Linked DNA regions of Nothobranchius furzeri. The protein of the gene in region 1 interacts with the protein of each later gene in a biochemical or structural test. Links are inferred from orthologs where the notes say so. Each region holds a gene or a part of one and is shown in the gene's direction. Other genes may lie near its edges. The genes, in order: cdkn1bb, cullin-1, cdc34b, cdk5, rnf6, akt1 and grb2b.

Region 1 (4,123 bases):
TCATTCTCCTTTAACCCAGAGTCTTAATCATACATGTTTATGTTGGCAGGTATCGGATGGTTTCAGAGGGGGCAATCTCGATTAACCACAAACGGGCTGACCATCCAGAGCAGGTGCTGATCCCCAAAGTCCACATCCTGACTAATGGACTCACGCTGCTCAAAGTAGGAAAAAGGAATTTCTACATCATCAAGTGGCTCGGCCTCTGACACTCCCTGATTGAGAATGAAGGCACTAAACTAAACTGTAATGACTGATGACGAAGGTAGGCAGCAATACTTTGGCAGTCAGTGAGAAGATTTTGATGGACTTTTACTTTATAAGTATTTGTTTTTATGGACATATAAATATGTAAATGCATAGCTGTGATGCTTATTTAAAAGTGTGGTATTAAAGTATTTGATAAGATTGGTTTCTTGCTGATTTTGTGCTGCAATAGTTTAGTCAAGTGAACACAAGATGGCGCTATTGTTTTAATGGCTGGCTGTAGCCGGCCTCATCTGCACCACTTATCCTGCTGTGACCCTTTTAAGTAAACATTTTTTCCAGTAAAAGTACATTGCATCATTTCTCACAAAACAGTTTAAACACTGCACTTTTATTTTGGAACATGAGGCCAAAATCAGCCTTACGTCTGGTGTTTTATTTTCTGTCAGTTTGTGTAAAAAGTAACAAAAGGAGAAAAAAGGTTTTCATGCAGTCATTGACAAAAAGAAACTACCTTAAATTATTTGTATTATATATATATAATGATGTAATTCTCTCTTTTGGGAGTGCATGCTGACTTTTATGTGAAATTGTGAATTTTTTCAGCTGCGATGTAAAAACCAATGCTCGACCCACGGCAGGTTTGATTTCTGCAGGTTCTTGGCTTATTAGTTTTGTTTTACACTCCGTTGTAGTGTGTCTTTGGCATACGTGTGTTGCTTTATGATGCTGGATTTTTTTTTTAAATTTGGTAAATATTTGGTTAATACTTATATTTAGAATAAATCAACTATTAAAAACAGAGTAATGCACACTGAAGATGTTTAGAAAAATAATGGTTTTGACTCCTTTGCAAATTACCTGTAAATTTAGTATTTTTTTTAGATGTGTAACTATAAAGCTTGTGTGATGTAGTCATTTACACAAAAATACGTTTTCTATTTTTAAGAAGCATACATAAATATTTATTTTAGTAAAACGTGATGGAAAAATATGAGCCGACTTCCCCACTCATACACGCCTACTGTCACTTTAAATAAAGTAGGTGGGGCCAGGTGTCGCTTAACCAATGAGCGTCCTTTGCCGGGTTTAAATAGCTCTGTGTGTCAATCATAAGCCCCTCCCCCTCCCGTCTCAGTCCCCACCACTGCTCTGCTCCTCAATCGCCATATTGGGTGCTGAGGTTTCTCTGCAGTTTCTCTCTGAGCGGAGCGAAACTGACAGCGTCCTCAGTTCCTGTGCACTTTGTTTTGATGATTCTCGGAGACCATCTTCGACTCCAGAGCCCCGCAGCAGTTAACGTCTTCCACTTCGACGTATGCATGGCATAGGTGTAGAGCTGCGTCGGATCTTTCCCCCGTGACCTGGAGATACCGCTGTTGTTGTTTTTTATTTGTATTTTTTTTTCAGCGACGTGTTTTTCTTATGACAGCTGGACGCTCCCGGCTGACTGAAAATAGCGTGTTTATTGGGGGGAGGGGAAATGTCTAATGTTCGAGTTTCAAACGGGAGTCCGACGTTGGAGCGGACGGAGGCCCGGGTGTCGGAGCACCCGAAGCCGTCTGCCTGCAGAAGTCTGTTCGGCCCGGTGGATCACGAAGAGTTAAAGAAGGATTTTAACGAACACATGCGGGAGTTCAAAGAGGCTGCCGCTGCCAAGTGGGGCTTCGACTTCGCCAGTGACACGCCACTGAGCAACGGCAGGTTCAAATGGGAACTAGTGGATTCCGAGGAGATGCCGGACTTCTACCACCGGCAGCCGCGGAGGGAGAAGGGCGTCTGCCCCAGGAGCACCAGTGTGGATCTAAACGGGAACCATAACTGCGTCCTGGTGGCGTCGAGCGGGGATACCAGCAAGCCCGACGGTCAAACGGAGTGCACCGGGCTGAGGAAGAGACCTGCTAGTCACGGTACTACATTTGCATCTAATCAGGTTTTAGAGCCGGAGCTCGGCTTTCACCCGACAGGAAGCACATCTATAACCCTCTTCTTGTGTTTTTGCTCCGAGTTTCCCTGACAGAATTTCTTTGCTGTTCGCAGAGCCTCCGACCCAAAACAAGAGGTCCCATACCAGCCCAGACGAGGTTAGCTGTCCGAACCTGAGCCACTCAGTAGAACACACACCCAGAAAGCCCAGTCCCAAGAGACAGACGTGAGCCCGAGAGAAAACGGTGAGGCTTAAACTCATCCGTATACAATAACCGCATGTAGCTTCTGTTCCTCAGCTGTGATCTGAGCCACAGCAGGTTATATAACACGTTCTCTCCACATATTATCGAGTAGCTTTAACGGTGCTGCACGCTTATTTTATCTTCAGTAAGTAAAATGCTGGACTCTAGTAACCATTTCAACATTTTATATTCATTTAATCACAATGAGATCAACTCTGCCGAGAGAAAAAGGCTTTAACGTCTCACTGCTGCAGCTTTTCTACTAAACTGTAAACAAGGGCTGAACAACAGTGTAGTAGTAACACGTCAGCAGCCACTGCCCTCGGAGCAGAGCAGAGAAGGGGCTGGTCTCTGAACACACACACGCACGCACGCACACACACACACACGCACGCACGCTGTCCCTGCAGGCAGAGGAGTGTGCTGAGGAGACCCGCAGGTCCGAATTCAAGTAAAGGGAGGAGGGATGGGCACGATGAGATCTTCCTCACAGTGGTTTAGGACCTGTTTAGGCTGCAGATGAGAACACTTACATCAATGTTTCTTTTTAGCACAGAAATTTGAACAATAACCGGGTGTGATTCAATATGAGGATGTTTTTCTGTTCAAAAGTAAATCCTTGAAAGATTTTATTATAAAATATGATGAAAGAACTGCACTAAAAGACAAAATAGCTGTTAGTTTCATAAGTGTGTGTGTGTGTGTGTGTGTGTGTGTGTGTGTAACAGGTCAGTTTAGCTTAACCTTGTTAGTCTTTTTAAAAATAGGAAACTGATAGGGGGTGCACACTTGAAATAAACAGTCTAGTTATGAAAAATAATTAAAGTGAAACTTTTTCCATGAATTGTTAAAAGATGATTTTTCAAAAATGTTAATACTAACCTTTTTTTTTTCTTATTTTTCCCACCTTCTCCACACAGTTCGAGCATTTTTTTTTTTGCGAGGGTGTTGTTTTTTATATGCATCTTTTATTTTATTTTTTTGGAGGCCTGACTGTTTGTTGGCTTTTTGGGGATGAGGATCTGCGCAGCATCAGAAACATATCGGCTCTTCTGAGGACTGAGGAGGACGCTGTTGAAGCACTGAATAGAAACACTAAAGTTGTGGCACTCAATTAAAAATAAGTTACTGCCTCTAACAGCAGTCGATGTAGCAGTGTGCAATTAGGTTTTATTTCCCTTTTTTGCTCGTTTTGTTACTACCTGTGTGTAAATAAATTAATAAAGATGGATATATATATATATAGGTATAAATATGTCTCCATGTGTAGCACATAAGGAACTTAATTCTAAATCCAATCCTTTTTGTAAAAAGTTGTGAATTTTCATTTGACTTGAAGAATTGCAGTGATGGTTTCCAAAATGCTGTTTTTTATTTTTATTTCCAGACTGTGTGACATTTGCCACTGTCCTTAATTGCTACACTTAAAAAGAAAAAATCATGGCTTCTCACCGTTTCTGTAGTGTTCCTTCACTCCGTCAGCTTCCTAATGCAGCAGTGAAGAATGGTACAAATGTAGCTCACGTATCGTAATTTAATTTGTTTTTTCATTTATTACAGCGCCTCCCTGCAAAGGGCTGGACTCGTCTAAACGACGAGGAGATGTAAAAATTCTGTTAAGATTTTCTGATATTTATTTTTTAATCGAGGTGCTTTTAGCATCAGAGTCCTGGAATATTATGAAACAATTTTTTTGAAGTTTTTCTGTGCGCCTCAGCTACGTTTTAATGTTCGAGTGTTTCCTT
Region 2 (3,500 bases), on another chromosome or scaffold:
CGCACACACACACATACACGCACGCATACGCATGCACACACATACACGCACACACACATACACGCATACGCACACACACATACACGCATACGCACACACACACGCACGCACACACATACACGCATACGCACACACACACATACACGCACGCATACGCATGCACACACATACACGCACACACACATACACGCATACGCACACACACATACACGCATGCACACACATACACGCACACACACATACAAGCATACGCACGCACACACATACACGCACGCACGCATACACACACACATGCATACACACACACACGCACGCATACACACACACACACACGCATACACACACACACACACGCACGCATACACACACGCACGCATACGCACACGCACGCATACGCACACACACATACACGCACACACACACACATACACGCACGCATACGCACACACACACACATACACGCATACGCACGCACACACATACACGCACGCATACACACACACGCACGCACGCATACGCACACACACACATACACACACGCACACACACACACGCACACACATACACGCATACGCACACACACACATACACGCACGCACGCATACACACACGCACGCATACGCACACGCACGCATACGCACACACACACACATACACGCACGCATACGCATGCACACACATACACGCACGCACACATACACGCATACGCATGCACACACACACACACATACATGCATACGCACGCACACACATACACGCACGCATACACGCATACGCATGCACACACATACACGCACACACACATACACGCATACGCATGCACACACACACACACATACACGCATACGCACGCACACACACACACACATACATGCATACGCGCGCACACACATACACGCACGCATACGCATGCACACACATACACGCACGCACACATACACGCATACGCATGCACACACATACACGCACACACACATACACGCATACGCATGCACACACACACACGCACACACACATACACGCATACGCATGCACACACACACACATACACGCACGCATACGCATGCACACACATACACGCACACACACATACACGCATACGCATGCACACACACACACGCACACACACATACACGCATACGCACGCACACACATACACGCACGCACGCATACACGCACACATGCATACACACACACGCACGCATGCATACACACACACACGCATACACACACACACACACACACACACGCACGCACACATACACGCATGCATACACACACACACGCATGCACGCACGCACGCATACACACACACACGTACGCACGCATGCATATGCACACACGCACGCATACACACACACACGCACGCATGCATGCATACACACATACACGCATGCATACACACACACACACGCACGCACGCACGCACACACGCATGCATACACACGCACGCACACACACACACACACACACACATGCACACACGCATGCATACACACACACACACACGCACGCACATACACATGCACACACGCATGCATACACACGCACGCACGCACATACACACACATACACACGCACGCGTACGTACATACACACACACATGCACATACACACATGCACGCATACACACACGCATACATACACACACACACACGGCCCAGAAGCAGCTGATTTCCTGTTTGTATGCTCTAGTGGACTTCAGCATCCAGGTTCTGAGTTCTGGATCGTGGCCGTTCCAGCAGTCGTGCACCTTCGCCCTTCCGTCGGAGGTGAGACTTCCTTAATGAAGCTGCTGCGGCACGTTGCCATGTTCTGACTCCTCCTGTCCTCCTGCAGCTGGAGCGAAGCTACCAGCGCTTCACCGCGTTTTACGCCAGCCGGCACAGCGGCAGGAAGCTCACCTGGCTGTATCACCTGTCCAAAGGAGAGCTGGTCACCAACTGCTTCAAGAACAGGTAACAGGATGTTTTAGGCCTCGTTTCTCAGACAGAACCTGCCAGAGATCAAGGTTGATCCACTGCGAGTCTCTAGGCCAACAGAAGTTGGAGTCATAGAAAGCTAATGTCACAAACAGCCTCTGAGGCTTTTATTTTGACGGGAGTGCTACAGCGTTCCTGGTGTTCTCCTGCCTGAAGAGGAGAAATAAGAGGGAATCTGCAGGCTCTAGAAAAGTTTTACAAAATGATGAATTGCATTAAGGAAAATTTTAAGTCTGGTTATCATCTTGTTCTCAACCCATGTTTGTTATTGGGTCACGAGTCGTCATGTGACCAGTCACAGGCGGCTTTGCACAAGCGTGCTGTGGCGCTACAGCGTGAACGACTGCTGTTGCTTCAACACCCCACAGCAGTTGGAGTTCACCAAATCAAACGTCCCTGCTCCTCCTCCCCCATCAGCCGTTCCAGAGGCTCGTCGACGGAGCAGTTTAACCCGTTAAAACCTGATACTAGCAGCACGAATAGTTTATTTCCTGGTGGGAAATGGCCCCAGCTCATGCACCCGTTTATTGATCCGGCATTCGAGGACACTGGAGATCCATCATGAGATGTGTCTGTGCTGCTTTTGGATGCCAGTGTTTGACCATGCGGTAACCGAGATCACGTCGTCGTCTTAATGAAGATAATTACCGTACAGCTCGGTCAGAAAGCCGGTTTCCAGTTGATCTGATGTCAGCTGATCACATGACATCAGCTGGAAGCTCAAGCTCAGAAAACAAATTATGATCTGATGTTTTATATTTGACCCAGATACATCAGAAGGTCCTTAATGAGTGTTAGATGGTCTGAGATCCCTGCACGTACCCTGAGTAAGGGAACGCTCCCAGGCCAGATATGAATCTTTCCCATAATGCATCAGTCATGTGCTGCCTGGTGCTGCAGGTACACGCTGCAGGCCTCCACCTTCCAGATGGCCATCCTGCTGCAGTACAACACGGAGGACAGCTACACGGTGCAGCAGCTGACCGACAGCACGCAGATCAAAACCGTAAGAGGCCGCTCCAACCTCAGGATCCATGTAATCAGATTACATCTAATCAGCTGGCTCTCTGTTCTCAGGATATTCTGGTTCAGGTGCTGCAGATCCTGCTGAAGTCAAAGCTGCTGGTGAGTTCAGCCGTGTGTGTGCGTGTGTGTGCATGTGTGTGTGTGTTTTAGCGATCAGGTGTAAAAACTCAACTTTTAAAGGAGCTGCAGCAGTTTTAGATTAAAACCTTTAATTTTCTTCTCATCAGGTTCTGGAGGACGAGAACGCCAACGTGGACGAGGTGGACTTCAAACCGGACACGGTCATCAAACTCTTCCTAGGATACAAGAAGTGAGGATCAGCTTTTCCTTCTGCCGTCTGGGTTTGTTGAAGCGGTTTTAAATCGGTTGTCCTCCTGCAGTAAGAAGCTGAGGGTGAACATCAACGTCCCGATGAAGACGGAGCAGAAACAAGAGCAGGAGACCACCCACAAGAACATCGAGGAGGACAGGAAGCTCCTCATCCAGGTGACC
Region 3 (4,107 bases), on another chromosome or scaffold:
TCGCTCGAAGCCTCGCTGCTGGATCTGCCTCGACCCAGTGTGGTCCTTTTCGGGCTCGGAGACCTGTTGCGACCTCTCCTCTCATCTGGAGATCGCGACCTGTTTACTCTGGACTTGTTTCGGTGATCTCTGCCCCGACTTATGGACCTGGAACGAGACCTACGCCGTGTTTTCGAACCCATCACGAACTTTCTTCTTTTCGGGGCCCTAAATGCAGTCTGTCGCGTAAATAGGAGGCATTGACGAAACACTGTTGATTATAATAACGTTTACAATCGCACTAATAAAAACATATGTCTATGTTTAATGTTCGCATACTCTAACGTGTGCTATGACAGAAAAAATTACGTGTCAGATTTCTTTTATAAAAAATCCAAATGTATTTAGTAAGGCAAAGAAAAGCTAGCCTAAATGGGCTTTCCTGAGCACTGGCGCAGATTAAAACGTCACAGCCACTTAATAAACTACAAATTAGCCACAAATGAACGCAGGATTGTTTTTCTTACAATTTAGTTATGTCGGTGATAAAATACTATTATTGATGTCATAGATATTTCGTCCATAGTAACCGCTACCGTATTTAAACAGTTTAACAGGAAAATGCAAGCACAAACAAACTTATTTTTCTTTTTGGGCATTTAAAATAAAAATAAAAACATCATAAATAAAAAGAACAGGAATTATATTATACCAGGGTTTTCAGTTATTTTGGTTTCACGTTTTTTTAATCTAACAAACGCGGAATGAAAGACTACCAGTCCCAGCCAACAACAGGGCGCCATTACCTGTTTTTACCAGGGGACTCTTTCAGCAACACATTTCCTTTCGCAGCTTTCTATGAGGGCTAAACAATTATGGTTACTGGAGGTATAGTTTGGCGTAGTGTCACATGACTTTTTGCGTTTGTCTTTTCAAATTGCCATTTTATGTAGTTATTTTGTGTTTTTGCGGTAATTACGTCGCTCCAGCTGGTCAATTAGACGGAGCTTGTTAGCTTTCCTTAGCTAACAGTAGATTTAAGGCTTATATCAGCTGCTGCTCTGCCAGGTAAATCAGCCAAAGCTGTTGAGCCTCTCAGACACAATGTGTTTCTCGTTTATAACATTACTGAGTTTTGACATTAATAACGTTTAATTTGGGAACAGACCAACCGCAGTCTTTGTTTTGCTTTTACGCGCGGTCGGCCTGTTTTCTTTGCCTCCGAACATCGAAAAAGGAGAAGTTGTGCTGTTTGCTGGCTTGGCTAGCTTAGCCGTGTAAACAAAAGCTGTCGCCTCCAGATAATCCTGAAAGCTTCATAAATCATTATGGCGCAACACGACCCTTCTCATGTAGCTAGTTCGCAGAAAGCTCTCATGTTGGAAATGAAGAGCCTCCAGGAAGAGCCTGTGGAGGGATTTAAAATCACTCTGGTGGACGAGGCTGATTTATACAACTGGGAAGTCGCCATTTTTGGTCCACCAAACACTCATTATGAAGGGGGATATTTCAAGGTAAGGTTGTAATTAAAATCAGATGACATATAAGAAATGACCGTAGTTTAAAAAATAACAAGATGTCCCCATTTTCCCCCCTAGGCAAGGATCAAGTTTCCTACAGATTATCCTTACTCCCCTCCTGCTTTCCGCTTCCTAACCAAAATGTGGCATCCCAACATCTATGAGGTTAAATATTGACGTGTGTGTACTCATAACAGTGTATTTAATTTGAATGAATGCATCTGATGATGGAATGTATTTGTTTCCCCTCTTGTAGAATGGAGATGTGTGTATTTCTATACTGCACCCTCCAGTGGATGACCCGCAGAGCGGAGAGCTCCCATCAGAGAGATGGAATCCAACCCAGAATGTTCGGTTAGCATTTCTCTTTCTAATCATATTCTCTCTATACGTTTCTCCTTTCTGGTCTCCTTCCATCTTTGTCCACTTTGCAATCACTTCAATGGTTCACCCAGCGCAGACTCTTATCTTATGACATTCATTATCAGCAGCATCTTCTTCACCGGCTGCAGCAGCCAGCAGTAAAGCTAGATCTGCATCTTCCTCTTATTTACAAACAAAATTAAATTGATCTTTGGATAATATCATACTATGCAAACTAAGATTTTGTTGGTTTATTTCTATGAAAAACATACTTTGAGTACCTTAATTCATTGTGACTCACAATAAGTGTATCGCATGAGTTTGACAGCATTTTGCTGCAGAAGAGGGAGAAAATGCATCTTTATTTATTATAAACTTCCTTCTGAGGTTATTTGTCAGGCTCACATTATGCAATCTGTGCACAAAAAAATGTATCTTTGATCTTTTTCTGTAACTGAGAGCCAGATTTCTATTCAACAAGAAACTATCTATGTAAAAGCCACCACAACGATGTCACACTCACAAGTGATATTAAACCTGTGATCTGTAGTAGTCGAAATCACACAACTTCAGCAGTGTTACAAAGATGTAAGCTCTGGTGGTTTCGGTCACTTGATGCAGTGCAGCTCTTATGTTTTTGTTGTTGCAGGTGGTATACCGTTAACCTAACCTAATTTCCTCATTTGCATTTTTGCTGCAGACACATTAGATCTGTAGATCAGGAAGTCTGTCACAAAGGCTGTTCCTTTGGCCACAAACAGAAGCAGCTTCTTTCTGTTTCCCATAACGACTCACTAAAACCTTACTCACAATGCTACGTTTTATAAATGTAATGTAAAGGCTTGTCAGTGCGCATTGTGCGCTCTGCTGAGAAGGTGATTGGCTGCAGCCCTCCATCTCTCCAGGACCTGTACGTCTCCAGAACTCGGGGGCGTGCAGGCCGGATAACAGCTGACCCTTCGCACCCGGGTCACAGACTTTTTGAGCCGCTTCCCTCAGGCAGGAGGTTACGGTCCATCCGGACCAGAACCTCCTGCCATAAGAACAGCTTCTTTCCATCTGCCGTTAGACTTGTGAATAGATTATAAACACACAACCATGCTGGTCTTCTGTACTCGACACAACGTCACGTTATCGGCCATGTTACCATTACCTGCCATTTTAGCTGAAAGTTTTATTCTAGTTTTTTTAATTATTATATTTTATTCTATTTTATTCTATTTTTAATCTTATTATTCATGTTATATGTAGCACATTAGTGCCGAAGCAAGTTCCTAGTTTGTGAATTGTTTGTTCACTGAAAATGGCAATAAACCTATTCTGATTCTGATTCTGGTAGGGTGGTAGCACATGGGTCTGACAGGTTTTTTTAATACATGTTTTATCAATTAGCTTTAAGTTCCTAATGTAATATGTGCTTCATTGTTTATTCTAATAAAATAGTAGATGAAATAAGTAATTTAGGCTTGTGACATTAAAATATTTTTTATGTGTTTAAAACTTTTTAATTCACCTAAAGTCGTTTTCTTATGGTTCTATACTAAGTTGCCTTTGTTTTTTGCTTCTAGGACCATTTTGCTGAGCGTGATCTCGCTGCTAAATGAACCCAACACCTTCTCCCCTGCCAACGTGGACGCCTCTGTCATGTACCGGAAATGGAGAGACAGCAAAGGCAAGGACCGGGAATATGTAGAGATCATCAGGTAAACATTAGTGTAATGTTATTTAAGACAAACCTCAAATATTTCTAAAAGATTTTCAAAGCCACACCATCCACACAAAAGTAATTCAGTCTTCATAAAACAAATCCCTTCAGGAAACAGGTGCTGGCCACAAAGGCAGAAGCAGAGCGAGATGGCGTGAAGGTGCCCACCACGCTAGCTGAATACTGCGTTCGTACACGCGCCCCGCCGCCAGACGAAGGCTCTGACCTCTTCTATGACTATTACTATGAAGACGATGACGTGGAGGGGGGAGACGGCGACTGTTGCTATGACGAGGATGACTCGGGCAATGAGGAGTCGTGACATTCTTGTTGTCAGAAAACCCAACCTAGCTGACGAATGCTCATCCTTTAACTCTTCCTGGGTTGCCAGATATTCTTGGTTTGCAACCAAGAGAGATTGGAAGCTTCCTTCTAAATCAGTACAAGAGCTTTTTTCCTTCAGCCTCAGAGGTTAAAACTGATGCCTCGTTGCGAGAGGGTCAGACTGTGGTCACTTTTGCACCAGCACAGCCACCAATT
Region 4 (4,148 bases), on another chromosome or scaffold:
GACTCTGACCTCTGATTAAATGTCTCAGTTTATTAAAAAAGATGTTTTCTTTCTTTGCAGGCTGGGACACATTTGGAACTACTGGGCAAAGGAGGACTCTACTCTGATCTGATCCGCAGACAAAAAGCCGAGGGGCAAAAATAGACACAACAGTTTGTTTCCAGTAGACCAGTTATATATATAAAAAACATTTGTTTATTAAATAACATCAAATGTGTAGTACATTTACCTGCTTTCAGTTTAGCAGCAGCTTAGCTATACATTTTAAACAGTTTGTGTTTAAGTATTAATGGACCAATGTGTTTATTTCAAAATACACTACTGTGCAGATAAATTAAAATAAAAATATAGCCCCTGGGTTTTTGTCTATCTTGTATGGAAAAATAGTACATAAACATTTAAAAACTAAAACATTATTAAACCGTTTAAAGTATAAAAATTTGAATCTTGTTTTTGTGATCTAACTTTTGGGAACTGCTGTTTTGATGCTTTCTGCGTTTCCTTTGAAATGCTTCAGTTATTTCAGAATGTTCTTTAACTGGTGAATCTTTAAACACAGAGCTCAGATATCCTCTAGCACTAAGAAAAATCTTTACCAAGACACCACACCTAGTATATTTGCTGTCTTAGTAAACAGGATTACAATCTTGTTTACAAGGCTTAACAAATAAAGCGCTGAGGTTTATCGGACTTTGAAATGAGGTTTATTCCATTAGATGGATAAATCAGACTCTCTGGGAAACGTTTAAAAAATACAAATGTAACCTGATGGCTTTCAAGAGAACATTTGCAGTCAGAGATTTGATTTGAAACGATCATCTTACAAATGAGGGGATGCAGTCTAAGAGTGTTTTGTTCAGATATCTGTCTATAATGAATCTTAAATTGTTAGTATGGTTTTATTATCTAAGAGCAGCAATTTCCTAATGTTGTGATTCCTCGCACATGTGACAATAAAATCCTTCTGATTCTAAAATTAATTTGACCCCAGTGGCAGTTAAAATGAAACGTTCATTTTATATTTCTGTCATTTATAGCAAGTCATTTATAGTAAATGTGATTTTTTTCTTTTAAAGTTCAACATGACTTTCCCAGTGGCTATTATTAGATGGTGCTTAGGTATTATGGAGTCAGTATCAAATAACGATGCATTAATCAGAGATAATTAAAACAACAGTTTTTCCTTCTTTTCTTTCGTTAAATATGCTTAACTTAATGGCTTTTTATTTTAGTTCTCACTGAGTTAAATATTATCTTGCCTTTATTTGTTGAAGCTCCAAAATAACATTTTCCGCATCCAGCAGTTCATATTTTGCCCTCTAGGTGTCAGCCAAGAGCGCACCTGTTGTTGCGGTCTAAACAGAACACTGACTCACTGAGCCTAGTATCGGCGTTAGCTTCTGCAATATTCTAGCCACCCCAGGCTCGGGGTTTTGTCCTTCATTTGTTTGCAAGCTTCATCAAGGCTCGTTTCACTCACAGAACATGCAGAAATATGAAAAGCTTGAAAAAATCGGAGAGGGTGAGTTTATTTGGGGCAATATTAGCTTGCTGAAGTAAACGCTAACATAGCATCAATGCTAGCTCAGGGCTTGCTGAATTAGACTTGTGTATATGCTATATATTTTGTTATTCATATGCATAGTACTTAAATTTAATGCAAATCTGCGTGAGTTTGCTTTATAAACGTAAGCCGATTCCTATAAATTTCACGGTGCCAGTAACAGGCTAGTGGTGGGTATGTAAATAAATAGCTAACTAGCTGCTTTGGCATTCATCCGGTTTGTGACAACTGGACATTATTTATTTTGTAGGTACATATGGGACCGTCTTCAAGGCAAAAAATAGAGAAACCCACGAAATAGTGGCGTTGAAACGGGTCAGGCTGGACGACGACGACGAGGTTGGTATACTAAAATATAGATAGACGCTAATGTTTAGCTTGCTAGTGCTAACCCAGATAGGTGTTTTTCAGGGAGTGCCAAGTTCAGCTTTGAGAGAAATATGTCTTCTTAAGGAATTAAAGCATAAGAACATCGTCAGGTCTGTTTACCCAGAGGAGTTAAAAAGCAGCATTAAAATAATAACTTGATGCCAAAATGAATCATCTGATTGTTTTTCTCTCCAGACTACATGATGTGCTGCACAGTGACAAGAAGTTAACCTTGGTTTTTGAATATTGTGATCAGGTTAGTTACTAGTTTTCCAAATATTCCCCCTCCTTTTAATATAGACATTATGTTGCTAAAGTGTGTTTTCTTGTCCAATATAGGACTTGAAGAAGTATTTTGACAGCTGTAATGGCGATCTAGATCCAGAAACTGTAAAGGTGACATGAGACATGACACCTGGTTGCCTTGATAGTTACAGGTTAAATTGATTGTTACTAAATTTAACTTCTATTCTTGAATTCCCTCTGCAGTCGTTCATGTACCAACTGCTGAAAGGCCTTGCTTTCTGTCACAGTCGAAATGTTCTTCATAGAGATCTGAAGCCCCAGAATCTCCTCATCAACAGAGTAAGTATCAAATCAGGAATTATGCTCTTTTTGTTACGCAATGCTGAATTCAATGTTCATTAAAGAACCACAGCTAAATGCTGTGCTGGTGGTGGGATTAATAAAGAAATGTATAAATTGTTTCTTCATCTGTAGAACGGAGAACTGAAGCTAGCTGATTTTGGGTTGGCTCGAGCCTTCGGCATTCCTGTCAGATGTTACTCAGCAGAGGTAAGTTGGACATTAGAATTTTTTTTTTAAAAGTAGGGGAAATTTCTGAATCTGTTGCAAGAGAGAAGCCAAGATGATTTTATTTGCAATTTTTTATACAAGTGAGATTTAAAATCTAGAAATTAACTAAAATGTAGTACACATAGAAATATGTGTGGGTTGCTTTCACACTATGTTTGACATTAAACTGAGCAACAAAGACAGATCTGTGTCCCTCTGTGTGCATATAAATGTTAAGTGGGTTGTTCAGAGGGACGTGAAATTTTAGAAATTTGTTTATTATCTGAAAAAATGATAAGACTGACCTCAGGACCAAGCTTTTATGTATGAAAGGCTCAACCAGAGTGACACTACAATGTAGAAATGTGGCAAACTGAAAACTTAAAACACTGAGAGTTTGAAATTAGGTCATTTATAAGATTGTTTTATTTCAGAAAACAAAAAGATCATACCTCTGTTTGACAAAATGTGACAAATTATTTTTATATGCAACATTTACAAAGAGTTGGGAAGTTTTTCTTGTGTTCAATCAAGTCTAGCTGAGATTCCTGCATATTTATGGAGGTTGGAGGTTTTTTATGGAACTGGAATTGAGACAATATGTAACTTGTACCCAGCTTTGTAACCTGTAACATGTTTTGTAACTGTAACTTTTATTTTGTAACTTGCAGAAAACAATCAATGTACAAATTTCAAATTACAACTTTCAACACACAAATCTCAGTCTACAAGTACAAAACATTTTGTCCAAATTCTAGCTTCCTTCCCAAAGAACCAATGACAGGCTTTGTCTGACCAGCCAATCATGAGTCTTGGATTCCTTTTCAAATAAAATTCCTGTTTCCTGCAAGCTAGAATTGTTCCTAAATGTTTTGTATTTGTAGACTTGAGTTTTGTAACTAGACTGAGATTTGTGTGTTGAAAGTTGTAATTTGAAATTTGTACATTGTTTTCTGCAAGTTGCAAAATGAAAGTTTCATGGTATGTACCGAAGTTAAGCCGGGCGTACACTGTGCGACTTTTTCACTTTTTTGAGCCGATTTTCCAGTCGTGCGAGAATCCACGACATCGGGGCGAGTTTTGCGCCGAGCGGTCGTGTAGTGTGCAGGGGGTTACGAGAGGCGATTAACACCACGTGACCAGCCGCCGATCAGCAGTCGTGAGGTCGCAGGGACTTCTGGTGTGTTTAATATTTTGCTCATCCCTCGTGAGGGTATCGCACTGTTGAAGCAGCGCTGCGAGCAGCTGCGAGCAGCTACGATCCAAAAAAGTATCAGAACCGCTCACGGCGCATGCGCGCGCAATCCTGCATCAACGCCGGCCGGTCGCTCGCTATTTCCCTAATAACACACGCTGTTCGTTTTTGTTTCTACACGTTTTTTTTACTCACAAAGATTGTCAAGAAAGCGTGTTTGTCGTG
Region 5 (4,066 bases), on another chromosome or scaffold:
TATTTCTTTCTGTTGTTGCTGCGTTTCCCCCCAGCCGGTATCTGCTCCAAAGAGACGTACATAGTCGGCAACGACAGCACTGTCGTAAAACGTCGTAAAGACGGTCCTGCAGCGGAGAAAAGAGGATGGAAACATGGGATAAGCAGACCCAACCACGTTGAAATACGTGTCTAGAACCTCATCAGTAACGCATTTACATTGTGAAAACAGCGTTTTTTTATTTTAGTGTCGTGTTACAGACAGGAAACCACCAAAAAGCGTTTTTATTGGTTAAAAAAGCCCTTCAATTAGATTTTGTAAATAAGAAACAAAATATCCATCTTTTAAATTTTAAGCAAATAAGAAAATTGGGCCTATTTAATTCAGTAAGTTGTCAATACCCAATAATTGATGGAAGTGTTTGACAATTTATAACAAACCCCCATTTATGACATCTTCAAGGGTTTATCCATATAAGTAGCGGTGAGTTGAAGAGGTAAAAAGTAATTTGTTGGAGGACAATTTTGTGGAGGGACATCTGTGTCCCTTTTGGATTTCTCTTTATCATGGATTCACAATGACAGTGCAACACTTGTATTTGTCTTCAATAAAAGCTAATTTCTATCTCTGTTAACTAATCACTGTGAATTTATGTTTTAACAACAGAAACATAGATGAAAAGATGCCATTCATTTTAAAGAGGTGATTAGATAAAATGAGTACAGAAGTTGGTCATAGTTAGTAGGAAAATTGCATTATCGGGAACTGGAAACAATAGAATTCTTACTATGAACTCATTTTACAATGCATTTGAATTTGCATTTGGCTCACAGTTTGGATCTTCTTTTATTTATTTGTTTGTTTATTTCTAGGATTTACTAACAAAAACTGTTTTAAAGGCTCTTTACTTTATCCAGAACTGTCAGCATTCTTTGACTAGCTCATTCATACATCGTCTCTTATCTTTTTGTGTGGAGAGAATAGCCGTGATAGTAAATAAATAGTGACAAATTAGCTACTCTTCTTAGATTTACGTTGATTAATGAAGATCATCTAGAAATTACACCCACTGGTGTTTCATGACCTACTCTTGGATCGTGATCTCAGTCATTTTTAGGAGGACCTGCTTATAACAAATGTTAAAGTAAAATGTACACAATTTCATTTTAAATACAGCATAAATTAATTATTTTTGATAATGTTGATCTGCCTTTCAAACTGGTTAAAAAACCAATAAACATCTCTTTGGACAGTATTGTTTTGTAGGAACTAAGAAAATGCGGTGCTTGTTTCAGACGGACGGTTTAATGCTTGTACCGCTGGTCCCATCTTGGGTTGTGAGAGGTGAGAGCTGAGCCAACCGTCCATATTATAACTGCCTTGTCAGGTATCTAAATCTTATAAATTTTAATGTCACGTCTCACGAGAGTATGATTTCTTTAACTTGTGTGTTTCGTGTGTGTTAACTGATCGATAAAATAATTCCCCATGGTAATGTGTTTCTTTTTTTTCTCGGAGCTAACACTGGGCATCGACTGATTGCTGGCTGTGCTAACATGTTCAGTTAACACTCGGAAGCGTTGCGCATTGAATTTTACGCTTCGCAGTTTATGAAGGGTCCACAAATCGTGCTCGTGCGTTTGTGCGACAACACATAATTTCACTGTTGATGGCATACATCTGAATCATTCTGCTGTTTGATTATGCGGACAGGATTCTTTGTCTTTGCTTCGATGCTCTGCGTCTACATGGAGGAAGCCTCCGTTAGCCTCGCTTGGCCCGCCTTTGCCGAACAGCGATTGGACGCCGGGCGTGACCGTCACCGAGGCTAGACCGCTGATTGGTCGCTGACCATGATGACAGCGGCACTTTTGTTGCTTTACATTAGCCGTGGCCTTCGCTCGATATAAATCCACTTGTTTAAAATTAGCTTTCATGAAGACTACATCGGTATTATTTGTCTTATTAGCTGTCTTGTACTCTTGTTATTTTTTTCCACATGACAAAATAGTTTAACTTCTGACGCTAACACACAAGCTAAATGTTAGCTAGATTATTGCAGTAGCTCTTGTAGAAAATGGTTGACGTTGGTTTTCCTCTCGGCCTTTTAAAAGACTGATCAGGTTTGAATTTGCATTTCTTGTTGAGCTGCAACGCACCACAGCATATTGAGTGCGTATATACCTCAAACTCAAATGTTATTTACTCATCTTTCGACTTAAGAATGGAGCTGTTATCAGTTTTGACTGCATTCTCTTGTTTATATGCATCCATAACAAATTTTCACTTAGGTAAAGCTGCTGTGGGTAGCTTTGCGTGTCACTGTCACTTTCCATCATCAGCTGATGATTTGCTCATCTGCTTCCCAGCACTCTCCATGGTGATGGACCCTCCTGGTGGGGGAGATGAACGCCAGAGGCAGGCAGAGCGTCTTCGACGGGAGGAGGCATACTATCACTTCATAAATGAACTGAGTGAGGAAGAGTACCGTCTCATGAGAGACAGCAACCTGCTGGGCACCCCAGGTGAGGAGTCACCCACTAGTTTAGGTCCAGGCCAAACTGTCACTTTACATGAGTCTTTACTTGATGTTGCAGCCCCAAAGGTTTTCTGTGAATGTGAAAAATGTATCTAGTACTTCCAAACCAGAATTAAAAAAAAAAAATAATAATAATTTTAATTATGTTTTTCTGTCTTTGGAGCATCTAAGCACAGAGGTGTTTCTCTGGTGCTCATGTCTCAAAACACCCTCAATGTGCAAAATATTTTACAGGGGAGGTTACTGCAGAGGAGCTGCGACAGCGTCTGGATGGAGCAAAAGAGCGTGTGTTGTCTCAGCCCGGCACTGAGCAACGCTCACAGACTGCTGACGCTGGAGAACAACAGAGCAGTAGCAGCGGGGGAGAGGAGAGAGGTGCTGGAGGAAGAGGAGGGGCAGGTATGATGTTCTTGTGTTTATCTGACTTTTCTGGTTCCATGGTTAGGATTAAACAAACCAGACAATAGCATTCACCAGGAATTTTGGGACTTAAGATAACTGCAAATGTTTTCTTACTAAGTTCTAACTTTTTAAAAACATTTTGACAGGGAACACAGAACCTGGAGCAGAACCTTCTAATGGCGATTCATTACTGGAGTGGCTCAACACTTTCAGACGTACTGGTAATGCCACCCGGAGTGGACAGAGCGGCAACCAGACATGGCGGGCTGTTAGCCGGACCAACCCCAACAGTGGGGAATTTCGTTTTAGCTTAGAGATCAACATAAACCACGATCAACCTGAGCCTGGAGAGCATAATGACGGTGTGAACACCGCAGATACTGCAGAGCTGACTCCTTCAAACACAACAGCACCCTCTACACGCACTGCTTTCTCACTCTCCAGCTCTCGCCCTTCAGCTGCACCAAGGTCAGCCCCATATCCTTCCCCCCGTCCTGCCATCAGTAGGAGGATGGAGACTCGACGTACACGTAGCAGCACTACCACTCCTCCTGTTAGCCTCCATGTGCCGCCACCTCCAGAGATTTCTGGTCAAAGGAGGGTCAACACTTTGCACTCTTCCGCACCTTTGTCTGTTGTCCCCAGTTCTCTTGTTGATCAAACCACACCTTCCCAGCGTCCGCTCCTGCATGTAGAGGTGGAGCAAAGGCAGGATGGAATGTCTACTCCTCCAGACTGTCCTCAGGTGTCACTCCAATCTGAATCACAGGCCCCACCTGTGGAACACGAATCACGCAGCAGTAGGACTCGATCGCGTGGTCGTGCCCGTAGGGCTACAACAGGGAGTGGAGTTTCATCTCGTGTGTCTAGAAGAAGTCGTTCTCCTTTGCACAGAACACCTGTTCCAAGTACTGCACCATCCTCCAGCAGCGTCCCAATTGGTTTTGCTGTCCACACTCAGCCAGCCAGTGTAACAACCTCGGTGTCGATGGAGACTGGGGAGACCGTGTCAGAACCTGCTGCTCTAACCGAGACGGCTGTGGAGACTGTGGAGCTTGAGAGGGATTCACACGTCACAGGAGCTGGAGGTTCAGCAGTGAGACGCCACCCCACCATCATGCTGGACCTGCAGGTGAGAAGGATTCG
Region 6 (3,500 bases), on another chromosome or scaffold:
AGGTGATCGTAGCAAAAGTGAGTGGTTGCCAGAGAGCCGAGTGAAAAAGGGGTGAAAGCTACTCGGGTTTAGGAGGGCAGCGGCGCAATGACTGATACCTAAATAGTTAGCTATTGTGAGACTTGCACAAACACTCTTTGTGCTTTTCTTTTTCAGGATGAAGTGGCGCACACACTCACAGAGAACAGGGTCCTCCAGAATTCAAAGCATCCGTTCTTGACTGTAAGGAGCCCCTCCGTATACCCAAAACCTTACGTTAACCCACAGAAATCCTCAGGAACCTCTTCAGTCCAGTCCAGCAGAATCCATTCAGAAAATCTGGGCTGGAGTGTTTGAAGTGATGTGCCTGTTTATAGCAACACTGGGCTTTTAGTTTTTTATTTGTTAACCCCCTTTTTTTTTTTTTTGACTAAGAGGTGGGTTGGCAGGTGGAGACATAATGCATCGGCTTCAATGTAGACCAGATGACAACGGTTCTTTAAAACCTCCACAAATCGGATCATTGATGTTCCCTTTTTGGTTGGGTGTTCCCACAGTTCTTTGTATTAAAATGCATTTTGTTTCCAGCTGTTTTAAAGGGCAGCTTCCTCCTGATTTCTCTCTAAACCTCAAGTTCTGCTTTAAACATGTTCTTCTTCTGCAGGGACTCAAATATTCCTTCCAGACACACGACCGCCTGTGCTTCGTCATGGAATATGCAAACGGCGGCGAGGTAGGCCGTTTTACCGGTGCCCTCACGACTAAGACCCTGTACACACGTAGTCGGGTATCCCACTAAACAAAGATATTTTCTGTCATCCACGCAAAAGTGAAGATCCAGGGCACCAAACGCGAATCTTTCAAATACCCGGACCAAAATGGAAATTTGTGAATTCTCCATCGTCAGCATGTGCTTGTGGACATAAAAAACTGGGTTTTAGGTTTTGTACTGTCACATGTGTGACCTGTTTACACTTACCTCCTTGTTCTTATTAGCTCGGTGGCTGCTCTGGTGAAGAAGACGCAGGTGAAAGACGATGTTGAGGACGGCTGTTGGCTGCCACCTTGTTATTCCACATCCATGGAATGTTTTTCGGCAAAGACGCCAACAATTTGGGGAACTACCGTCCCCTACAGGCTTGGGATGCCTACGAATGTGCTTCACAGTGTGCTAGATTATTTTGCCCAAAACGAGACCCAAGTTTTCTTCCTAAATGGAGGGGGGGGGGTAGTCGGCTACGTGTGTACATGGCTTCAGTTTCTCCCTTCTGGACAATTACTGAATCCTCGTTTTCTCCCCTACGTTTCCTCAGCTTTTTTTCCATCTGTCAAGAGACCGGGTTTTCTCCGAGGAACGGGCTCGGTTCTACGGAGCAGAGATAGTGTCGGCGCTTGATTACCTGCACGCCGAGAGGAACGTGGTTTATCGTGACTTAAAGGTAAGCGGGAAATTGTGCGCTCGCCTTTGTCCATTCTGGCCTCTTCTACTCATTTTTTCGCTCTCGCTTCCTTCCGTCGTCCTTCGGAAGGGTTTATCTTCCTCCTGAGCAGTGGCCGTGGCCAAGCCTTATTGATCTGCTTCCTCCAGGCCTCACTGCAGCTGGAGACGAGCTTGGTCCATACATTACTGCAGAGAGACGGAAGTAAACACCAGGCTCTTTGAACAGATTGCGACCTCCTCCAGTTATAGCGTGCATTCGATGCCCAGTGGGTGATATCTGTGCACTTTGTAATTGATACCGTTTTATAAGTTGACGCTGTAGAAAATAATTAATTTTGTTAACAGAAACCATCCTTCGTCTCCAGCTAAGATGTTTTTGGCTTCTAGTTCTGAATTTGAGGGAAACACAGAACCAGAATCCTTCAGTGCAGCAATTGATGGGCATCTTGTTGTTTAGGTGGGTTATAAATGCTGCAGTGGGCATCTGTAGGCATACTACTTTCAGCAGATAAAACTATACCAGCCAGGTCAGCACAGCACACACTCCCTCCCCCCCGGTTTCCTTCCCTGGGGTTTTACGAGGCAGGCTCCCAGCCTGCGAGGGTTCTCCTGAAAATGCCAGGATAGCAGGATTGGAGGATGTGCTGACTCTGGCTGGGCGCTGCTGGCCACGTGTGAGCTACAGCTGTCAGGTGACTATCTGGAGGGGGGTGAGGGCCAGAATGAGCAACCTCACGTCATGGAACTGAATGATGTCCACTTTGAGTAAATTTTTACTTGGCACAGATTTTGAATTGTATTTAAGGAAGTGGCAGCCAAGAGGGTGGAGTTTGCTGCTTTAGTCGTGAAGTTGATGGTTCTGAGCTCGTCTGTTTCTCACTATAATTTAAATCAATGCTTCAGTTGAATAAAAAGTTCAAAACGGAGGAAATTTGACAAATTTTTTCTAATTTCAGTTAAGAGAAGGACAGAATAAAGGGATTGTTTTCATCTAAATAATTATTTTTGTACTAAGATGTACGGATTATCTAAATATTACATTTGAATAAGGAATAAAGACAGAGCTAGAGTTACGACATTGTGTTTAAGAAACCCGTAAAAAGGAGCAAAAACAACAGTTGTGGCCAAAATACACACACGCGTTTGTATGTTTTTATTTTAAAGTTAGTACAAACTGCATCTTGTATTAAGGAGATGAAAGTTGATTTCATGTAGAAAACGAAACCTTTTCTTCCCTCCTTAGCTGGAAAACCTCATGCTGGACAAAGACGGACACATAAAGATCACAGATTTCGGTCTGTGTAAGGAGGGGATCAAAGACGGTGCCACTATGAAAACTTTCTGTGGGACACCTGAGTACCTTGCACCTGAGGTAAACACAAATCTACCTCTACTTACGTTGTTTTTAACAGCAGGCAACCTTCACTAAATTGGTGACAACATAACAAAGACTGTGTAAGTTCTGAGTTTAGGTGTTTGAGTGTTTTTCTTTTACAAATCTATCCAGTATATTAAATTCCTGCTTGTCTGGATTGAGAAAGATGAATGCCTGCATATGAAGTTTAAAACTTTGGTAACACTTTAGTTTAGGGAACACAAATTAACCATTAATTAGCTGCCAATTAATATGCATATTAGTGGACAACTAAGTCTGAACTAGTCATTATTAAGCACTTATTAACAGCTTATTACTAATGCTGTCATTCTGTCACTAACAGGCCATAAATTAAGAGTTTTATCAAAATAAGCCATTCATAGTGGTTTGTTGCTGATTCAATATCAACAATATGTGGCTTTTAACTCATTCACTGCTGGCCGTTTCCTGATCGCCAACAGCCTTCGCTGCCAGCGTTTCTCACCGTTTTTACTGTTTTTTTAAGAGTCACAGAACGTTGCGCGCTAGGATGATGTCGACGCCAAAACAAAGAGGAGACTCACCTCTTACATCAGGAAGAATCTGTGTGTTTCGAGCGTTATCCGTTCTTTCATAATCCGTTGTCGAATTGTGATCGGCAGACGCTTTTCCGGTTCGCGCCTCACTTTTTTTACAGGAACGGCCCAAAACGATCTCCTAACACAT
Region 7 (3,500 bases), on another chromosome or scaffold:
CATCGCTATTGGCTAAGAGGTACTCTAGAACGTTAGCTGGTACCATATGATGTCACAATGTTGTGGTGGGCCTGTGTGTGTGTGTGTTCGCGGCTCCGCCCTCTCGGTCTGCTAGGCAACAGCATTTGTTGCATTTTTCAAACAGGAAGTGGGAGCAGAATAATACTCTGGTAGGGTAGGGGGTGACTTGCTCTTTAAAATTTTGAATCTCACATGTTCTTGTTTGCGTTTGCAGGTGGTTCTTCGGGAAGATTCCTCGTGCCAAAGCAGAGGAGATGCTAAACAAACAGAGGCACGACGGGGCGTTCCTCATCCGAGAGAGCGAGAGCGCACCGGGGGACTTCTCCCTCTCTGTGAAGTGAGTGGAGCACCAGACCAGATGAAGTTTATCATCAGTTCAGCTTCCTTAGAGCGGATCTCCAGAGAGGGCTGCTGACTCTCGTTTCCTCATTCTGGTGCAACGTGTCTTGTCACACGTTTTTATAGATTTACAGACTGGTTTCGCTACTTTTACACCACAGATTATTTCCTGTTGCTTTTGGATTATTGGAGAACTTCACATGCAGGATTCAGTCCGGCCCGTTTCTCTGTAGTTACAAACCAAAAGCGCTGACTCGTCTGAGCTGCGAGGCGCGACTCGGCTCACACACCCTGCTGTGATCTCCCTCAGGTTCGGAAACGACGTGCAGCACTTTAAGGTTCTTCGCGACGGAGCTGGGAAGTACTTTCTCTGGGTGGTGAAGTTCAACTCCCTCAACGAGCTGGTGGACTACCACCGCACCACCTCAGTCTCCCGCAACCAGCAGATCTTTCTCCGAGACATCGAGCAGGTCCCCCAGGTAAGACCCTACTCGCCCCGGGTGAGAAGGTCCCTCAGGTCCGCTTTGACACAAACGTTCATGACCTTGAATCAGGAATAACGGGGGAGTGGGGAGAAGTAGGCCTTAGATTTAGGATTTGGGTGGTTCTTTCTGCTGTTTGGTGTCTACACACCACCTCTCAGATGTTTGGGACGTTTTTGTGGAAGCTGATTTAATCTGAGCGATAACGGGACGCGCACTGAGAAGTGAACAGGCTCTTATCAGGAGCTGTCACACGCTGTAGCCGATCCTTTCTGCTGGAACAACAAACGGTTGAGATGATGAACTCTTCAGTGTTCCAGCAGATGCGTCACTGGAGTCATCGTGAGATGCTCCAGGAAGCATCAGGATGAAATGTAATCAGATTACCATCTAAAACTCCAGCTGGGATGTCTTTACTGTAACTGCAGCAGTTTTCATTTCATTTTATTTTTTAAAGCCAACTTTTATAAAATACAGTTTTTTCTATTAAAATGTTACTTTAGCCTGAAAACATCTGCATGTCCTGCAACATCTGGACCTCGGGTAAACCGGCAGCATCGCCACAACGTTCAGTAATAACACAAAAAGATCGTTGGTGTCGAGCAGCTGTGGCGATCCCGTCTCCTGAGACCAGCGGCGATGCGTCGGTGCTCGTCTGGCGTGGTGGTTCCTTCTTCAGGGTGGCGCTCGCCAGAGTAGAAGCCACAGACTGGCGACGCTGGGCTGGCTGACAGCTGATGGGTGAACTGATGCAACACATGTAAATAACGTTTGATCGCCTCCAATGAAAGGATCATAAAAAATATCTGGGTTAGGCTAAAGATGTCATTCTCACCGCCTTCGTGTGTGTGTGTGTGTGTGTGTGTGTGTGTGTGTGTGTGTGTGTGTGTGTGTGTGTGTGTGTGTGTGTGTGTGTGTGTGTGTGTGTGTGTGTGTGTGTGTGTGTGTGTGTGTGTGTGTGTGTGTGTGTGTGTGTGTGTCTGAAAGGTAGTTAGGAGACGTGTGTGTGTTCGTCTTTTTATTCTCCGCATCTGAAATATTTTGCAAGGTTAGAAGATTTTATTCATAAAAATGTAATTTTTATTTATGCTTTTTTTTTTATTTTAGACGCAATTAAAGGAACATTTCGGCCATTTGTGTGGAAAAGTATAAATGATCTCATTCATTGTAGATTGCTTCCTGAACAGCCTCTGTTCAAAGAAATGGAGTTTATGTCCTTCAGCACTGATGAGTTCATAGCTAGACTAGGAGGAGCGAGGTCAGCTTGGATCTTTACCGTCTTAAAGTAAAAATCTCTTAGCAGCTTGTTTACATGTTGTTTCATAACCGTTTACTCAGCTGAAGACTTCCTGTGTTGTCTTCTGGCAGAAATATTAACTCATTCAATGCCAATGACGACTAAAGTCGTCATTGGCATGTTTTTACTGTGTGGGCGTTGGACGAGCCCCCGCACCGTGAGAACAAACATCTCCGCTCTGAAGCCGATCTTCATCCACGTACGTCACACGTCACGGGATCAGGAAGCAGAATATCCATGTGTTAGGAGATCGTTTTGGGCAGCTGCTGTAAAAAAAGTGAGGCGCGAACCGGAAAAGCTTCTGCCGATCACAATTCAACAACGGATTATAAAAGAACGGATAACGCTCGAAACGTGCGGATTCTTCCTGATGTAAGAGTTAGCTGTTGGCATTAGCAACTCCACCACACAGCAGAACTCCTGCTGGCTTTTGTTATTTGTGGAGATAAAACATCAACGTTGCAGAGCAACCAGAGTCAGCGTAGTGTCGTGTTGCTGTTAGCCAGTCAGAAGAAAGATGTCCGAATATCAGGAAGTAAGGCTCCAAATCCTGCCGTCTTCAGCTCAACTCTGCACCGACTCACTTCTAGTTCCTGGAACAGAAGCACAAGTCTTTTGGACGTTCTTACTGTGTTTAGTTTCTAATTCCATTTTTGGTTCTTTTTTTAAACTCAGGAAAGGTTTCTCTTTACCTTGCTGACGTTTCGTTTGCGGCTGCAAAACTTCCTCAGAGCTGATGGTGGCGTCACTTCCTACTCCGTTTATCCGCGGGCAGCAGAGGACGTTGTCGCCCTCTGCTGCCCGCTCTCCTCTCTCCGATGATGCAGTCCCATGCACGATCCAATTTGTAAACCCCATCGTCCCTGTTCATGGTCCCACATCCACGTCTCCTTATCTCTATAGCGTCCTTTGTCTATCTTTTGTATTTCTGTTGTTCGGTGTTTATGATCCTTGTGTTGTCCCAGTCCATTATATGGTTTTCTCTTGTGCAGTGGTCTGTTACGGTTGACTTCTTTATTGTGCTTTCTGCTTCTTGTTTTGCTGCTCTTGTGTGTTTTTGGCTTGTTTCTTTCTCGCACTCCTTTCTTTCTATGTTCTATTGTTCGTGTGTTGAGTTGGCGTCCGGTTTCTCCTATGTATGTTTTATTGCAGAGTTTGCAGGGGATTTCGTAAACCACTCCACATTTAAGTCCAGCTGGTATCTTGTCTTTTGGGTGTACTAGTCTGTTTCTAACCGTTGTGTATGGTTTTGTTGGTGTGTTTATGTTGTGTTTTTTCATTGTTGCTCTTATTTTTTCTGTTGTGCCTTTGATGTATGGTAGGGTTATCACTGGTTTTTTTCTTGTCTTTCTGGGTTTCTG

Evidence for each region.
Region 2: the proteins of cdkn1bb (region 1) and cullin-1 form a complex in vitro, tested with the Homo sapiens proteins (2 studies listed by BioGRID, with this or other methods). The link is inferred for Nothobranchius furzeri from reciprocal best matches to the Homo sapiens genes CDKN1B and CUL1.
Region 3: of the proteins of cdkn1bb (region 1) and cdc34b, one has a biochemical effect on the other in vitro, tested with the Homo sapiens proteins (3 studies listed by BioGRID, with this or other methods). The link is inferred for Nothobranchius furzeri from reciprocal best matches to the Homo sapiens genes CDKN1B and CDC34.
Region 4: the proteins of cdkn1bb (region 1) and cdk5 form a complex in vitro, tested with the Homo sapiens proteins (2 studies listed by BioGRID and IntAct, with this or other methods). The link is inferred for Nothobranchius furzeri from reciprocal best matches to the Homo sapiens genes CDKN1B and CDK5.
Region 5: of the proteins of cdkn1bb (region 1) and rnf6, one has a biochemical effect on the other in vitro, tested with the Homo sapiens proteins (2 studies listed by BioGRID, with this or other methods). The link is inferred for Nothobranchius furzeri from reciprocal best matches to the Homo sapiens genes CDKN1B and RNF6.
Region 6: of the proteins of cdkn1bb (region 1) and akt1, one has a biochemical effect on the other in vitro, tested with the Homo sapiens proteins (2 studies listed by BioGRID). The link is inferred for Nothobranchius furzeri from reciprocal best matches to the Homo sapiens genes CDKN1B and AKT1.
Region 7: the proteins of cdkn1bb (region 1) and grb2b form a complex in vitro, tested with the Homo sapiens proteins (2 studies listed by BioGRID and IntAct, with this or other methods). The link is inferred for Nothobranchius furzeri from reciprocal best matches to the Homo sapiens genes CDKN1B and GRB2.

What each region holds. Positions count from the first base shown.
Region 1 is NC_091744.1:57,771,973-57,776,095, forward strand, and holds cdkn1bb (cyclin dependent kinase inhibitor 1Bb), read left to right. Parts: upstream 1-1,424; 5' UTR 1,425-1,690; coding exon 1,691-2,117; intron 2,118-2,247; coding exon 2,248-2,363; 3' UTR 2,364-2,378; intron 2,379-3,298; 3' UTR 3,299-3,623; downstream 3,624-4,123. Other genes in the region: yars2 (tyrosine--tRNA ligase, mitochondrial), read left to right, coding at 50-209. UniProt on the Homo sapiens protein: Important regulator of cell cycle progression. Inhibits the kinase activity of CDK2 bound to cyclin A, but has little inhibitory activity on CDK2 bound to SPDYA. Involved in G1 arrest. Potent inhibitor of cyclin E- and cyclin A-CDK2 complexes.
Region 2 is NC_091747.1:63,552,676-63,556,175, forward strand, and holds part of cullin-1, read left to right. Parts: intron 1-1,695; coding exon 1,696-1,772; intron 1,773-1,839; coding exon 1,840-1,958; intron 1,959-2,882; coding exon 2,883-2,988; intron 2,989-3,059; coding exon 3,060-3,107; intron 3,108-3,235; coding exon 3,236-3,318; intron 3,319-3,388; coding exon 3,389-3,494; intron 3,495-3,500. UniProt on the Homo sapiens protein: Core component of multiple cullin-RING-based SCF (SKP1-CUL1-F-box protein) E3 ubiquitin-protein ligase complexes, which mediate the ubiquitination of proteins involved in cell cycle progression, signal transduction and transcription.
Region 3 is NC_091751.1:57,908,530-57,912,636, forward strand, and holds the start of cdc34b (cell division cycle 34 homolog (S. cerevisiae) b), read left to right. Parts: upstream 1-1,307; coding exon 1,308-1,493; intron 1,494-1,577; coding exon 1,578-1,664; intron 1,665-1,755; coding exon 1,756-1,853; intron 1,854-3,430; coding exon 3,431-3,565; intron 3,566-3,678; coding exon 3,679-3,889; 3' UTR 3,890-4,107. Other genes in the region: splicing factor Cactin, read right to left, coding at 1-182. UniProt on the Homo sapiens protein: E2 ubiquitin-conjugating enzyme that accepts ubiquitin from an E1 ubiquitin-activating protein, and catalyzes its covalent attachment to other proteins by an E3 ubiquitin-protein ligase complex. In vitro catalyzes 'Lys-48'-linked polyubiquitination.
Region 4 is NC_091751.1:49,904,740-49,908,887, forward strand, and holds the start of cdk5 (cyclin-dependent kinase 5), read left to right. Parts: upstream 1-1,348; 5' UTR 1,349-1,485; coding exon 1,486-1,522; intron 1,523-1,814; coding exon 1,815-1,903; intron 1,904-1,975; coding exon 1,976-2,043; intron 2,044-2,128; coding exon 2,129-2,189; intron 2,190-2,272; coding exon 2,273-2,329; intron 2,330-2,422; coding exon 2,423-2,518; intron 2,519-2,653; coding exon 2,654-2,728; intron 2,729-4,148. Other genes in the region: abcb8 (mitochondrial potassium channel ATP-binding subunit), read left to right, coding at 61-144. UniProt on the Homo sapiens protein: Proline-directed serine/threonine-protein kinase essential for neuronal cell cycle arrest and differentiation and may be involved in apoptotic cell death in neuronal diseases by triggering abortive cell cycle re-entry. Interacts with D1 and D3-type G1 cyclins.
Region 5 is NC_091747.1:51,004,087-51,008,152, reverse strand, and holds the start of rnf6 (E3 ubiquitin-protein ligase RNF6), read left to right. Parts: upstream 1-1,266; 5' UTR 1,267-1,286; coding exon 1,287-1,323; exon of another isoform or gene 1,324-1,366; intron 1,367-2,348; coding exon 2,349-2,504; intron 2,505-2,752; coding exon 2,753-2,917; intron 2,918-3,066; coding exon 3,067-4,066. UniProt on the Homo sapiens protein: E3 ubiquitin-protein ligase mediating 'Lys-48'-linked polyubiquitination of LIMK1 and its subsequent targeting to the proteasome for degradation. Negatively regulates axonal outgrowth through regulation of the LIMK1 turnover.
Region 6 is NC_091758.1:33,910,168-33,913,667, reverse strand, and holds part of akt1 (RAC-alpha serine/threonine-protein kinase), read left to right. Parts: coding exon 1-17; intron 18-156; coding exon 157-222; intron 223-643; coding exon 644-712; intron 713-1,292; coding exon 1,293-1,418; intron 1,419-2,663; coding exon 2,664-2,792; intron 2,793-3,500. UniProt on the Homo sapiens protein: AKT1 is one of 3 closely related serine/threonine-protein kinases (AKT1, AKT2 and AKT3) called the AKT kinase, and which regulate many processes including metabolism, proliferation, cell survival, growth and angiogenesis.
Region 7 is NC_091752.1:67,694,930-67,698,429, reverse strand, and holds part of grb2b (growth factor receptor-bound protein 2b), read left to right. Parts: intron 1-235; coding exon 236-358; intron 359-670; coding exon 671-839; intron 840-3,500. UniProt on the Homo sapiens protein: Non-enzymatic adapter protein that plays a pivotal role in precisely regulated signaling cascades from cell surface receptors to cellular responses, including signaling transduction and gene expression.